Linked DNA regions of Neodiprion lecontei. The protein of the gene in region 2 interacts with the protein of the main gene of each other region in a pairwise test. Links are inferred from orthologs where the notes say so. Each region holds a gene or a part of one and is shown on either strand. Other genes may lie near its edges.

Region 1 (8,903 bases), on a different chromosome or scaffold from region 2:
GCTGTTGAACTTTGCACTTTGTAATGGTAACAATAAGTCAATATAAAGTAAAATACGTAAAATGTAATCACTTTTACAATTGAATTTGGTTCTGGTAGTTGATGTAATTCATTTGCTGCTAAAAGTTGGCGTCTTCTGAATTCGCGAATCCCAAAACATCGCTTGAAAAATAATCTAATATGAAATAAAATTGCAGCGTACAGAGAATGTCCGTTAAAAAACTGTTCGATCTTCTTTTTCTTATCACGTTCGTCTGGGTTGCGCGATTATGCAATGAGCTGTGTGATAGATACGTAAAATCTTCTATAACATTTATTACTGTTATTCTATAATACTTCTTTCGTGTTGATGCGAAAGCTGCAATAATTTTTTGTAACAGATGATGGGGTTAATAAGGCGTACCACTGTTTGTCACATTACCAAAAAACCACGTTTAGTTTGTGATACTCTTTAATTTATGAAAATCATACTGAAATTATATAATTAACTTTATTCTACGTGGTTACGCATGATCCCTTACAAATAAATCATCATCTTTATTTTATCGAATAATCAATCGCATATTATTATAATAATCATATACTTATTATGTTATATACTTTCACGAATGCTTTTTTCTATTATTACTACTACGACTACTGCTACACCTGGTACTACACTAATACTATTATTACTTTCTTGATGCCAGGAAGAAATAGTGAGAAAAAAACAAACAAGCGGAAAATTTATCGTATGGTAAGATTCGTTATTTTAATTATTTTCTTGGTAGGCGACGCTTTTTCCCCAGAACATAAATAAATCCTAGTATTACTTTTTTCTTCTTTTTTATATGAATATACTTTAATGCATATTCAATATACATACCCCTTTCTGTAGATGCAGGCAAAAATTATACGAAGCACAGATAAATTAAGAAAATCATCTGTGTTTGTTGTCGCATATCTATTGAAAATTTTTTTGAACGCAAATAAAAAAAAATAAATAAAAAAAAGAATTAAAAAAAAATAAACAAATTTTTTATCGTCAAGACTTTTGTCAAATTTCTGCACTCCTGTGCGATATTTTTTTAATACACAGTTCAATTTTTCTAATTATACCATGTTATAATATCGAGGTTTTGAGACATTGAATTATCATTGTGTCAAATGAAGGGTTCTAAATTTAGTTGCGTAATGGATATATGCATCTCTATATCCAATGATCTAAAAATAATGATAAAAATTAATAACGGTATGTAAAACGGAGACATGAGAATAACCAATGTTTAACAGAAATTGTTTATTCATAATTAATTCTCACTAATGATGTTACGAAATGAGTCAAGTAAGTCATGTATAGCAAAGCTACAGTAAAATCTGTCCTTAATTATTATTTGCAAGTCATCCCAGAAACCTGATTGGTACGATTGAAAGAAATAACGAATATAAGTTAGTAACAAGTTAGCTGAATTAAATCAACAATTATTATTATATTTTATTATATTTAATTTGATTTGATAAAATAATGTCCCTTAATTACTACGTATCACACAATACTTATATTATTGTTTAAATATTGATACAGTGATTAAATTATATTTAAAAAGAAATTCATTACTTACGTTGAAATTATTCAATCCGAGAATTTCTGCGCGGGGTTTTAATTTATTTTTCTTACCAACGTGAAGATAGAGAAAAATTCTCTTCAAGGGAATTTAAGATTAAACGATGTTTATTGCATGTATGTACACATGTGGACATTAATTCAGAGACTGCTAGTTTTTCGGTAAGGTCGATTACGTTGGTAACGCAGATTCAGCCCGTAGCGGTAGGCTGACAGTGGCACTGCAGACTGAATTCGCGTTATGTACCAACGTAATTGACCTTACCGAAAAACTAGCCGTTTCTGAATTACTGTCCACATGTGTACATACGGGAAATCGGGGCAAAGTAACGTAGGTCGAAAATATTTCTTACATTTTTTGCACAATTTCTGCTTTTCCCTGCAAAATTCAAAAAATATCTTGTCGACAGTTTAGAAGTTGGAATATTTCCCTTGATTATAAGTAAACAGAAATACAAAAATTCCTTGGCATTCGAATAACCATGATCCTGCACTTTCCCCAGGGTGCTCTGCTTTGCCCTGATCTCCCACAGAAATAAATTACGAGGCGGCAACTGACCAGTTATTTTTTTATTAGATAAAAAATTGATACACATTAAATGGCTCTTATACTTTTACGCAGAATTTTAGTAACCGAAAATCCCGCTATCGTTCCATATTCTTGAAGCCTCGTCTTTTACATGAACATGTCGTCATACCCTGGCGGTGGTAAATGGTCATTGTCGGGTCCCCCCCTGGGGGGCCGCGGAAGATTTACGTCCGGTGGCCCGAAGGGATCAAAACGTGCCCCAGGCGGCACAGCGCCGCTAGAATTTGAAAAAAAACGTTATGAATTTAGGTAATTCGTAAATTTCGTTACTTTTTTTGTGAAACATTTGGATAACACAATCACATTGATACCATCGAAATGTGACCTACATTTTGTATTCAGAAGCCATTCAAGTATTGCATTGACATCTGTTTTGGAAATTTCGCATCCCCCTCTTCGACACAAAATATTTTTAGATTAAATTTCTACAAATTTACTCAGAATTTATGACAGTTTCTCAACTTTTTTGAAAAATATATGTTAAACTCGAATAATTTCTAAGAATTGGTACAAATTTCTCCAAGTTTATGTCGAAAATTAACGCCGATACATTTATGAAAAAATCTTGAGATTTCAAATTTCTCAGAAATCCATAACAGTTTTTTATAATTCGTTATCGCCTGAAAATACTTAGAAACACTGGAATCGGATTTTTTCGAATTTGTGACAGAAAATAAAGTTCTGAAAGAAAGTGACTTTTCTCTAGGCATTGGTCCGATTTTCACCTCTAACTCGACTTTCTCAGAAATATTCAGAAAAATGAAAACTCGAAATTCTTCAGGTTTTCAATAATATAAAAGTTTTTCCCAGAAATTCTTGCCATTTTTACTTCAAACGCTACGTAATCAGTAGACATGACGCGAAACTTCGGTGTTTATGTGATTTTCAATAGAATAAGAAGTCTGAAAGCATATGAAAACTCTCTGGAAATTTTGGATATCCCTCACAAACTTTTTGAGGATAAATACAGAATTTTCTTTAGAACTATTCGAAAACATGGTACGTTTCTGAGAAATTAAAACATGATCTATTGAGAATTTTTGGACCAGGGGCCTCCCTCTTTTTTCGTTCTTTGCGACCAATAAGCAAGTATTGAACGGACCCTTTGAAGCGTGTGAATAAATAGTAATGGCAATTACGGGGGAAGACGGCCAGGAATTCCCAAACTTCCAGGACCTCCGGGTCCTAGTGGATTTCGGCCAAATGGGCCGGATGAGAAAGGGTCAAAGATCATTCCTCCGCTGCCTGGAGGTCCTGTGAATGGATCCAGATCTGATCTTCCAACTCCTCTTGGGTCAGCCATTGGATTCCTGAAATATTTTCCATGATTTGATTGTCAGTGATAATCGACGAACTTCAGCCACGCCGTTCCTCAACTTTTTAAACTTCGACAGAAACTTGTGCATCTTTTTCAAGTAGCAGGCTCAACTTCTGCCAAATTTGACTTTTTGGAGCATCAAACGAATTTCAATACGATAATCTAACAAGGAAAGTATCAGGCTTCCAGATAATGAAATTCTGCTCAAACTTCTGATGAAAAGGAGATTGATAGGAAATAAGCTGGTTTGTAGAATCGCTAGATAGCTTTCGATTGAGTTTTCCAGGAGTAGGTAAATATTGAAACTTCGTATTTATAGACCTTATTCAGTAAGAATTATTATTCTGAACAATAGGCGATTGGATAGTTTACTGGAGAGTGCGAATCTTGAGCGAACCTGTGATTGCACTACTATTTTTTTTCTAAAGTTGGGCAAGCGACAGCATTCTTATTCGTATTGCTTGTCGAATTACGGGCTAGCAGAAAATTCCATTCAAGAGCAAAAAACCAAATTGCTATTTTCTAAATAGATAATTTTCACTGAATAAAGTCAATTTTTACAATAATATATGAAATGCAAAGTTTTGACGTTTTATGACTCCTCTAAAACTCATTTGAACAGTATTGAACGATCGTATGAGCTAGAATGTTCCTAAAGCGCGAAAACCACTGAGTTTGGTAAGCACACTAATTTTCTGATGCAAATCTTCTGCCAACTTCGAATTCAATAACTTCTGCGATCATTTGCATAGCTAAACATATGGAGCTTGTGATACATAGTTTCATCTAATAGGCTTTTCTTCATTTCAGTTACAATTGGTTATATATGCAGCTTGATGACTGAAATTCCATAACCAAATAATCCTGCTGTGTATTTACGCCTCAAATATCAAGTTTTATTGTCTTCTGATAGGGTTTCAGTAATAGTATCTAAGACGTTCGAGTTTGAATAGATATATTACTTCAGAGCAATAGTGAAGTAACTACGAGTTTCCTACGATCTGATCTACCGTATGCTGAGCGATGTAAGGTCTATTGGATGAAACTACACATCAGGAGTTCCGTAGTTTCGTCCAAACATACGCCCCTAGATGTTTCAACAGAATCTCTAATCCAGAAGCCTGATGATTTTGTTGTAAATGGCTTCTGTATTTTGCTGATAGAACAGTTCAATTGTTTGTTATATTTGCTTGGATGTTTCAAGTATTAAAATTCATTTTGTGCTTTTCACTTGAGTGGATCAAAAGTTTATCAAGGTTTCAAAAAATTACTAAAGACTATAAGAATTTCCACAAGAACTTAAGAGATGCAAGAAACTATGTCCTAACAGTGAATAAAATGTATCATTCTGCCGAATGTCTTTCTGAGAATCACCTCATTTCTTTCATACAACGATTGTACATGAATGCGTAACAATTAAGCGATTGAATCCGAAATATTATGAGGGATTTTATTTCTTGTGGTTAGAAAAGGATTATCGATAACAAGGATTTGGTGTGATTAAAAACGAAGGGAATGTTCGTCCTGATCAGGATGAAGTCAGGAAAAGGCTTGGACAAGATGTTCAAGGGTTTAAAGGTTCATTGTAGGCCAAATATCATCGGGATCTATGTCATCAATGTCATTGGAAACCTGTAAAGGTATCAAAGGTAAATTTCTGTTGGACTGAAAGAGCGCCACATAAATTTCCTAGTAAGCCATGTAACAAACACATTCACAATGCAGCAAATGATGTGGCCAGACCCAGAGGACCTTTGAAACCTTAACAATGAATGCTTTTTAAAGAAAGGGCTTATGGCTTACTAGAAAATTGATATGGAAATTACCAATTAGGAAGATCTGGGTTTGGTCTTTGTGGCGGTCCTACCCTGAGAGGATCGTAATCCGAGCGATTTGGGCGGCGTGGAATATCACGCGTACTGTTCACATTGCCTGTCGAAGTTTGAGTCGATGTTTCTCTTGCATTTCCTGTATAAACGGGGTCAACCAGGTCCGTTCTGATGGTGTTTATGACACTTTGGAAACTCGGCATCAACGTCTGCAGTGGCCCTTTCAGGGCAGACACAGTTGTGTCGACCAAAAACTGAATGTTGGACACACTGTGGTCTTCGATTCGCTATAAGGATGAATGCCAATTAGAAAGTAAAAATGTGACCATCAATACCTAGGAGTGAAATTGACTCACCATCAGATTGAGGATTAAATCGGCATCTGACTTTGTGCCAAGTAAAATGTACAGTTTTCCTTCCTTGACATAACGCAAAGCGTAATTGGGATTCTGGTTCCAGCCGTTAGGTAACAATTCAGATCCTACTTCATTTGGATTAAACGTTTTCTGTAAATCATTTAAATAAACTTTGAATTTCGTCTTTTTTCTCCCCGAATTAGTAGAAGAAAATAATAAGTAGAACCAAGCTGTTAATTGTAATGAATAAAAACAAATTAAATTATCCGGATTTATAAGTTTTTCAGATGAATATTTTTTTGTAGTGTTTGGTTATTCATTATTTTGCTTTTTCTATTTTTCAGATTGCATCAGGTTCAGATATTCGGCACTAACCGTGTCACCAGTGCCAATGCATCTAAATCCAGTTCTAACAAAGTACCAGTGCACCAGAGTTATCAATACGTCATCTTTCTTATTTATTTGATTCTCCACAGATTTGTAGAGTAATTCAAAGCCAAAAATATTGGATGGATCAGCTGCCATGATTTTTCTCTTGAGGTTCGTTGCCGAAAATCGCGGAGGAATGACAATGCAATTGAACGCAAGTCAATGGAAAACTGAGTGATAACCAGTGCACCGTGGTAAGCGGAGACTCAGCCAATCAAGTTATACACCGAGGGAAACATTTTCCTTGGTTTTTAACTGACGGCAATCCCAACAAAACAGGGAATTGCAATTCTTCCTAGTTTTCGGCCAGTAGCTTTATACTACGAGTGGTAGCTTCGTATATATAGAGAGCGTGGTGGATGAGTGAGAGAGAGAAGTATATGCTCGTTACAACCTGTCTCTCTCGCTCCATACTTGATTGGTCCATACGTTTCCTCTCAGCCAATAAAGTGCAGAGTGAGAGAGACGGAATATCCCGAGTACATGTTTCGTTCTCTCATTATTTCAGGTTCAGTTTTCGTGAGGTAGTCGGATTGGGTAGCTACCTCCGATAGTATATGCTCTGAAATCTAGAAATATACATATGCAGTGCAAATCTTATGACTTGATTTCCGTCATCCTCTTTGGTTGTGTATGTATGGAGTATGACACTTCTCATTCTTTACGGAAGCCCTGTGGGGACATCTGTTAACACGCACTGTCGGTAACAAAATACAACAAATACAACCGACACTGTCCACATTCTTGCCAGAATTTGGTGACGCTGTACGGCAGTTTCAAACTTTGAAAATGGCGTCGTCGCTCGACGATGAGTCGCTGCGCGACATTAAATCTCACTCTACACATTCCATCGAGCAATTGGAATGGGTGCCCTTATCCCTTACGCTCGTAGAATATCCGGCAGGTAAATTTAACTAATAATTATTGCATGTTTAATAAATGATAATGAAACGTTATCTGCATTCGTGTCCGTATTTCCACGAGGCTACTGACGGCGCTGAAAACATTATTCAATATTTCCTTTCACTAGTTGGTACAAATAAAATTTTTAATTCAGAATCTATAGTTCAATGTCTTTTCTCTATCACTTCTAGAATCCACTAATTGAAAATGATAAAAACATAGAACGTTAACGAATCATAATTAAACATATGAAAGTCTTAAAATCATAAATACAAGAACAATGTTGTCAAACAACGCACGGATTTCTGTCTTCATTTCTCTTGCACCTTGTAACCGATGTTCACTTGAGTGATCTTAAATTACAGGTGATCTGATTGGGAAGTTTTTGGCATTGATAAGTTTAATGCCATTCGCTGTTATCGCAGGTTTTTTAACGCTAGTGCTATTCAGAAGAGATTTACACACTGTAAGATAACTCACACAATTGTATGATCATTCTGGGGTGTCAACTTTGTAACGCCAACAGAAATTAAAAAATACCCAGTGATCATTGGATTTGATTTTTACAGATAGCATTCTTAGGGGGTGTTGTTGTTAACGAGGTTGTCAACTTTTCTCTCAAACATGCAATACGAGAAGCACGACCCATCAGGCGGGAAGTTATATACACAGAGTACGGAATGCCTTCTGCTCATACTCAGTTTATGTGGTTCTTCGCTACATATGCAACAATATTCGTATTTGTTAGGTAACGCATTTCTAGGGTGTGATCTCAATCTAGCACAGAATTGGTTGTAAGTCGTTATTACATTTGGTTACTTGAATCGCTTTTCTACTTCTGTGTGGTGATCTGTTTCAAAGCTTCATTCAAGTTAACAAAGTTTTCTAGGACATAAAGATTATTGAAACTTTTAACCAATTTCTGTCAATTGAGTTTATGTGTTTAAGATTAATGATCTTTCTTTAATTCTTCGGCATCACAGATTACATCATAATAACAACAGCACAGTATCAGAGAGATTTTGGCGGATAACTATAATCGCCAGCTGTGTAGGAGTCGCAACCCTTGTTGCTTTTAGCCGCATTTATTTGCAATACCATTCTATTGCACAAGTTCTTTGCGGCGTGATTGTAGGAATCTTTGTCGGCAGCGTCTGGTTTCTAGTTACTCATCTAGTCCTCACACCATTTTTTCCAATTATTGTATCATGGTGAGTTTCGCTATCAATTTATTAATATTATTATCCAAATATCATTATTATTATTGTTATTATTCATGTCATTATTACTACACTGATAATTACTTTTGTTTCCAAGAATAATTGGATGCAAAATTGAAATAAACATTTCAACAAGACTGCTTTCAAAACTACTGAAATTTTGTTCCCAGATTTCTCAGTCACATATTACATTTTATAGATAAAACTAGACAATTGTATCAATTTTTTTAAACCTGTAAACTATTCTCATCAAAATGATTTACAGGCACTATTGAATCACGTAATTTTGTTTTCATTTTTTTATTTTTCAATAAGAAAATAATTTCTATGAATACATTCTATTTCAATATATGCAAGATAGTTAGATACGGTTAAGTGTAAAAAATATTACTTTTGCTTATTACAGGCGAATATCAGAATATCTATTGCTACGCGATACAACATTGATTCCAAACGTACTATGGTTCGAATATACAAATGCACGAGCCGAAGCCAGAGCTAGATCACGGAAGTTGGTGTCCATGAAGTCTCAGTGACGACTGATGATCGGTCAGTGGGCTGACAACAAATAAAATAAATTAAATTTTACATTTTGCAGTCTAGACTTAAGACCTACATTACGAGACTTGAGATCCAAGAATTAGACGTAAATCTCAA
Region 2 (5,658 bases):
TTGCCGTATATCCTTGCAACGAGACTATCGAAGGATCAACGTTATAGGAAAGAAGTATCCTACATGCCTGAACGTTGTCCTCTCTGGCGCACCTAAATACATTTATTAATATTCTTATTTTATATTGCATTAATTACTAGGCCTTTGCAGTGCACCAAATATCGATTCAACAGGATAAACATAAAATTACAATTTTTCATAGATATGCATGCAAAAGATTATCATACATATATTATTCAACATTATTTCCGTAAGCATTTTTCGAAATTTGATCATCTTCGAAGGCCTACTAAGTAACTCAAAATGACAGGAGTAATTTGAATAACAGTACAAAATTACCTGTGCAAAGCCGTCTGTCCTAGTCCATCTAAGGCGTTAACTTTGGCATTGTGTCGTAGTAAGACATCCATTGCGTCGTAGTGGGAATGATCGGTAGCTATATGAAGAGGTGTAAGAAAGTCTTTATTTTTTTCATTCAGAGCTGCGTTTTTTCTTATCAAAGTTTCTATAACTTGTTTCCGTTTCGGATAGGGTGATGCCACTGCGCTATGCAGAGGAGTATCGCCAGTGTAGGGATGCTTAAAATTAACAACATCCTGAGACAGATACTTTTTCAATTTCGTTGCATCTGCCTGTCTGCAGGCATCTAGAAGACAGTGTCCTTTGAACTCATCTGAAATATAAGAGGAGATTGAGCGACTTTTGTTCTGTTCTAGAGTTCTATTAATGGTTTGCTGAAAATAATAAGCCTGTTTTCAGTACTCGACTGGAGAGAGTAAGAAATTATGTTTTATGGATCTACCATTTTCACCCATACAAACGAGAGTTTTATAAGATTTATACTCACATGCCAGTCTTTCTTGTAATTCCAGCGTAGGTGCCACGTCAATGGCACTTTTACTGTGGCAATTGAGCTGAGTCGGATCTGCGCCTTCGCTCAGCAGCAGCGAGCACACTTCAGCTCTAGATTTACTGGCAGCTTCGTGAAGCGGGGTGAAGGCCCAGAGATCACTTGCGTTAACAGCAGCTCCGTGTTTCAGAAGGGCTTCCGTCACTTCAAAGTGACCATAGGAACAAGCGTTATGCAGTGGCACCAACCCCCTGTAGAGAATGTCCATCAGTTATTGTTACGTCCATAATTAACAGTCTAAAATTTCCCAAACCGAATTGTTACCCAAATCCTGCATACCCTTTGTCCTTGGCATGGACATCTGCTCCGTTTTGTAACAATATTTGTACAACCCGCGATCTGTTGTAACCGGCAGCTAAGTGCAGCGGAGTGGATCGTCTTCCGTCACTAGCGTGGCAATTAACATTCAACGGATTCAATAATTGCAATAATCTCTCCTCATTGCCTGATCTAGCTGCCTCTAGCAGTTCATCTTTCCTATATTCTCCCGTAAGAACAGGCTTTGTTGCTGGGTCAGCTAATTCGAGTGCTATTTTTCCTTCGGTGTTTCGAATATTGGCGTCAGCTCCATGTTGGAGGAGAGCAATACAGACATCTATTTTACCCTGTAATATGACAGACCGAGTGTTTCATAATAAGAACATTAAATGATGATAAAAAAAACTTGCCGACTGACATTTCTCATGTACAATTCTACCTTGATAGCAGCCTCGTGCAATGGCGTGTAATTCCAGTTATCTCTGGTATTAGGATTAGCTCCTGCTTCCAAAAGCAATCGCACAACGTCAAAATGACCAAATGAACACGCGTTGTGGAGAGGATGGAGGCCTCCGTCGTCGCGGGCTTGTATAGAGGCTCCAGCCGAAAGTAAAAATTCCACCACGTCTCTCCTACCATATCCTATTGGCAGGAACGTTACAGTTAATTGTAATTTGAAAATTAGCATGTTAAGATGATAAACTAATACACCATTTTTATTGAATGATTCTTAAAGAACGAGCAAACAGATTATAAGTTATGCGCACATATCTGGTAAATAGGCAGACATTAATTTTTTTCTCCTTTTTTTCTCCTCACTTTCTTGAGACACAGTTTATTTTTGGAAAGCTCGCTTCTTCCCCTTTCCTCAACTTTATTTTTACAGTTTGTACAGTTTGTATGAGATAATTTTTATCCAGGCTTTCTAGTTTACTCAGGTTTCCAGTCTGAATGCAAAACCTCAGGTGAAATAACGACAAAGAAGATGTCATTATTTACCTATTGAAAGAAGGTGGCCAACCAAGTATAAGTACAGTTAGAACTCGGTTCTGCCTTGTAAGCAGGAGCACGACCTTTCTATCCACGCAAAGCAGGTTGCAAACTAATATTTTCCAGGTTGTTACATATTAAGAACATTAAATATGCGCAGCAGAATAACAACAAGTAATAATTTGGTGCTCTAAAAATTTCTACATTATACTTTCACTTTCTCTTGGATACGATAATAATAAAATGTTATTTCACAGCTCATTTTAACGAGACCTATGATCTAATATAAGTATTGCTATATAGTCTAGTTTTAACAACTACACAATTTGACAATACTTTAAAAATTTTTCACGTTTAAGCATTTTTTTTTATATAATAAAACTAAACACGGACTATGATTGCAAGGTATAAAAATGAAGGGATCATTATAAATGGAGAAATGGCCGAGTAACAGGGTCATTCAATTCGTGCTATTTAACTGTTTTGGAGTACATGGAGGATTTTGTTTCGAAATTAAAATGAGCAGGTAATGGCTAAAGATACGTTTCTCAATGTTAATTTGCTGTTTGCATTCAGCTCACTCAAAACCAGGAAAACCTGTATAATGACAGGAGATGGCAAAACACGGGTAAGATATACGCACATAGATACACATACACACGTAATTTTTGTTTTTCGTTGCGCAAACCCTAACCAAAAAAATTGATGATAACTTTAAAAAGGGGAAATAACACATGCAGCACAGTTTACAGAATAATTGGTTCGAGATAACGAACTATCCTTACTCCGTAGGAGTAAAAGGGTGTCCCGATATTGAATTGTTCAGCTGTAAGGTAACGCGAGAGGATAAATGTAAATATAAATTCGCTCACCAGCTGCGAAGTGCAGGGGGGTAGATTTTCGTCCGGCGGTATCACGCGCGTTAACCGTTTGCGGGGTTACGATTTGTTTCACCCTTACCAAGTCCCCGGTTTTACACGCTTCGAAAAGTTCGCGAAATGGATCAGCACCCCCATTTCCTGGCAAGGGCTCAGAGTTCGTCAACACTGCCCGTCGTCCAGTCATTTTACACCACCATTTTCATGCTACTGTCGTCTGAGGCACACACCTCCGTATACCAATGTATACGTGTATACGTATGTCATCGCAGTCGAGGACCAATGCGCCAGCTGTACCATAGCAACAAGAGTTTGGCAGGGTCGCAACGCGAGTTTCTTGAGCCCCTGGTGTAATTTCGACCGCTCAATTTTTCCTTGAACCAAATTTATTTACCCTTATTTTCTTCTTTCTTGTTTGCATCGCATATCAGCGAGTCTTTTAAGTCACACTGATATTCGAAATTTCTTACGATGAATAAGAATACACGCGGTTTGATGTCAAATCCCTCTCTCCCTCCCTGCCCCCCCCCCCCACCCGCGCCCCTCGCCGACACCTCACGACGCCCCGCAGAATTGAAAGTTATTCGTCACCGACTTGCCGTCAACGGTTGCTAGCAATGCGGACCAATCGCCGTTTTCGATTTGCCGAGCGTAGCGTTTTGAAAAAGAGAAAGATGGTCAGTCCCCATCAGTCCCGGCGCTTGATCGCATATGACGCATCTTAAGCGGCTCACGTCCGATACTAATTATACAGATAATATCACTAGATTTAATCGATTTAATCAATAATTCTGCACCTAATTAACATAATGAAATGAACACTAGAATGAATTCGTTGCTAAGTTGTGATTTATAGCGTTTCTGACGTAAAGTGTAAATACAATAATTACTGATATTAGGCAACAGGGAGTACCGATGGCAGTCAGCGTATCTTTCCACAAAAATGTCTCTCTTCTTACGCAACTTGTGTCCCCGAACGAAGCTTTTAGACGGCATTTTCGAGAGGTATGGAAATTGATTTGTTGCCAAGTGATGTAGCCTTCAGTTTTTGTGAATATAACCTCTCTAGTTTGTTGTCCGTCTACCGTCTCGATACTATCAAAAAAATTCAGCTGATACATTGTTCTTACTGTGAACTGCTGATTTAGTGAAAATTTACTAACCTGTTACTTCTATCTAGTTAATTTTATTTTCCAGGGAATGTTTGACAAGCCGAACACTACAGGCTTCATTCACGTATCTCACTATCTCCTTACGATATATGATTCGGAACGGTTTAGAAAATTGGTGGAGTGGCCAATAGTTTGTAAGAAGAGTGAGAGCAAGTACAGAAGCGATGTTAAAGATTTTATAGGCATCGTTGCAACCGAGCATCCCGAGGCTGGCCTTCCCTCAATATTGGGCACGTATTTGTTGCACGCTGGAGGTACAAAGTTTATCAACGTCATGTGGAAGCTCTCACAGGTTGTCCTTTATGTATATATCAAACGTGAATGTAAGTTATATTTTGATTTCAATTCTTTTAATTTACTTACTTGGCCTTGTTATGTTAAATTTGATTCCTATCCCATTTACTCCGTTGAATTCAGTTGCCGGTACTGTTGATGTATGTACTATACATTTATATTGTACACACATATATCTACACTGTATTGTATACTGACATTGAGGAAACCGAATCTGACCTACACGTATGTATTCTAATACCGAGTGAGTGTGTGAGAAGCAAGAGTGTTGTTTTTCTGTACACAGAGTTGAATAGAGTCGAAAAGAAGATCACAGGCAAAGCGCCACGAATGTCTGGTGTTGTCCCGAATATTCAAATATTAACTCTTAACGTATTTCTATATAATAAATATACCAATAGAATTATTGGAGCCTCATTTTTCCCAACCATTCTAACAGTTACAATATTTACTCACGTTATATTGAGAAGCTTGGCATGTAAAAAGCTATGCTCACAATTTGCACCCTTTAAAGGGAACCAACGGCTAGATGATAAATCCCAGGTAAATGTTGGTAAAAAAATTTTAATGTGTAACTCTTTTATTTGCAGCGGATAGCAATGTACTCATGGCACCACAATCCGGGATTACAGACGAAGTAACTAAGAAGCTGTTAATCAATACCACTTCAGATATACATAAAAACATTGAGGAGATGAACAGCCGATTTTCTAAGACTGAGCGAAGGGCTAGAAGCTTTGTCGAGTAAATCTGTTTGCATTCAATCCCAGTTTCAATAATTAGATTCAAACAAGTTGTTTTTAGTGAATGACGGTACAAGTTTATCATAGTCTGCATAATTGTTAGTATTGGATCTTGACATGTAATCAACAAATTTTCAGGGATCAGGTCAATGATATAAACGACTTTCAGAATGAGACATTCGAAAAAAGACAAGCAATATCTGAACTTGCTGCAAATGCAATAGTAGCCCCAGCTGTGAAAAAAAGGTTGACAGATATTCAGGATATTGAAATTATGAAAAGTAAGACCCTTCCTAAATTTGTGAAACTCAACTGTTGTCATTTATTTCCTTTTTTTTTATGTGGTTTCTGCATTTTTGCTCTTTATAACTAAACGAAGGTGGCATACTTGTGGCATACTTACAAGGAAATGT

Evidence for each region.
Region 1: the proteins of poly [ADP-ribose] polymerase tankyrase (region 2) and proteasome inhibitor PI31 subunit interact in binary tests that used the Drosophila melanogaster proteins (3 or more experiments, as listed by UniProt). The link is inferred for Neodiprion lecontei from reciprocal best matches to the Drosophila melanogaster genes Tnks and PI31.

What each region holds. Positions count from the first base shown.
Region 1 is NC_060261.1:13,182,803-13,191,705, forward strand, and holds proteasome inhibitor PI31 subunit, read right to left. Parts: upstream 6,442-8,903; 5' UTR 6,220-6,441; coding exon 6,070-6,219; intron 5,845-6,069; coding exon 5,695-5,844; intron 5,626-5,694; coding exon 5,336-5,625; intron 3,502-5,335; coding exon 3,331-3,501; coding exon of another isoform or gene 3,327-3,330; exon of another isoform or gene 3,294-3,326; intron 2,586-3,293; coding exon of another isoform or gene 2,521-2,585; intron 2,409-2,520; coding exon 2,279-2,408; 3' UTR 1,078-2,278; downstream 1-1,077. Other genes in the region: dolichyldiphosphatase 1, read left to right, coding at 7,430-7,492, 7,596-7,774, 8,010-8,237, 8,653-8,782.
Region 2 is NC_060265.1:26,915,492-26,921,149, forward strand, and holds the start of poly [ADP-ribose] polymerase tankyrase, read right to left. Parts: upstream 3,522-5,658; 5' UTR 3,224-3,521; coding exon 3,031-3,223; intron 1,811-3,030; coding exon 1,608-1,810; intron 1,516-1,607; coding exon 1,175-1,515; intron 1,102-1,174; coding exon 848-1,101; intron 674-847; coding exon 340-673; intron 93-339; coding exon 1-92. Other genes in the region: uncharacterized protein LOC107218902, read left to right, coding at 3,952-4,041, 4,234-4,531, 5,093-5,246, 5,384-5,526. UniProt on the Drosophila melanogaster protein: Stimulates proteasome activity, probably by ADP-ribosylation of PI31. Modulates 26S proteasome assembly.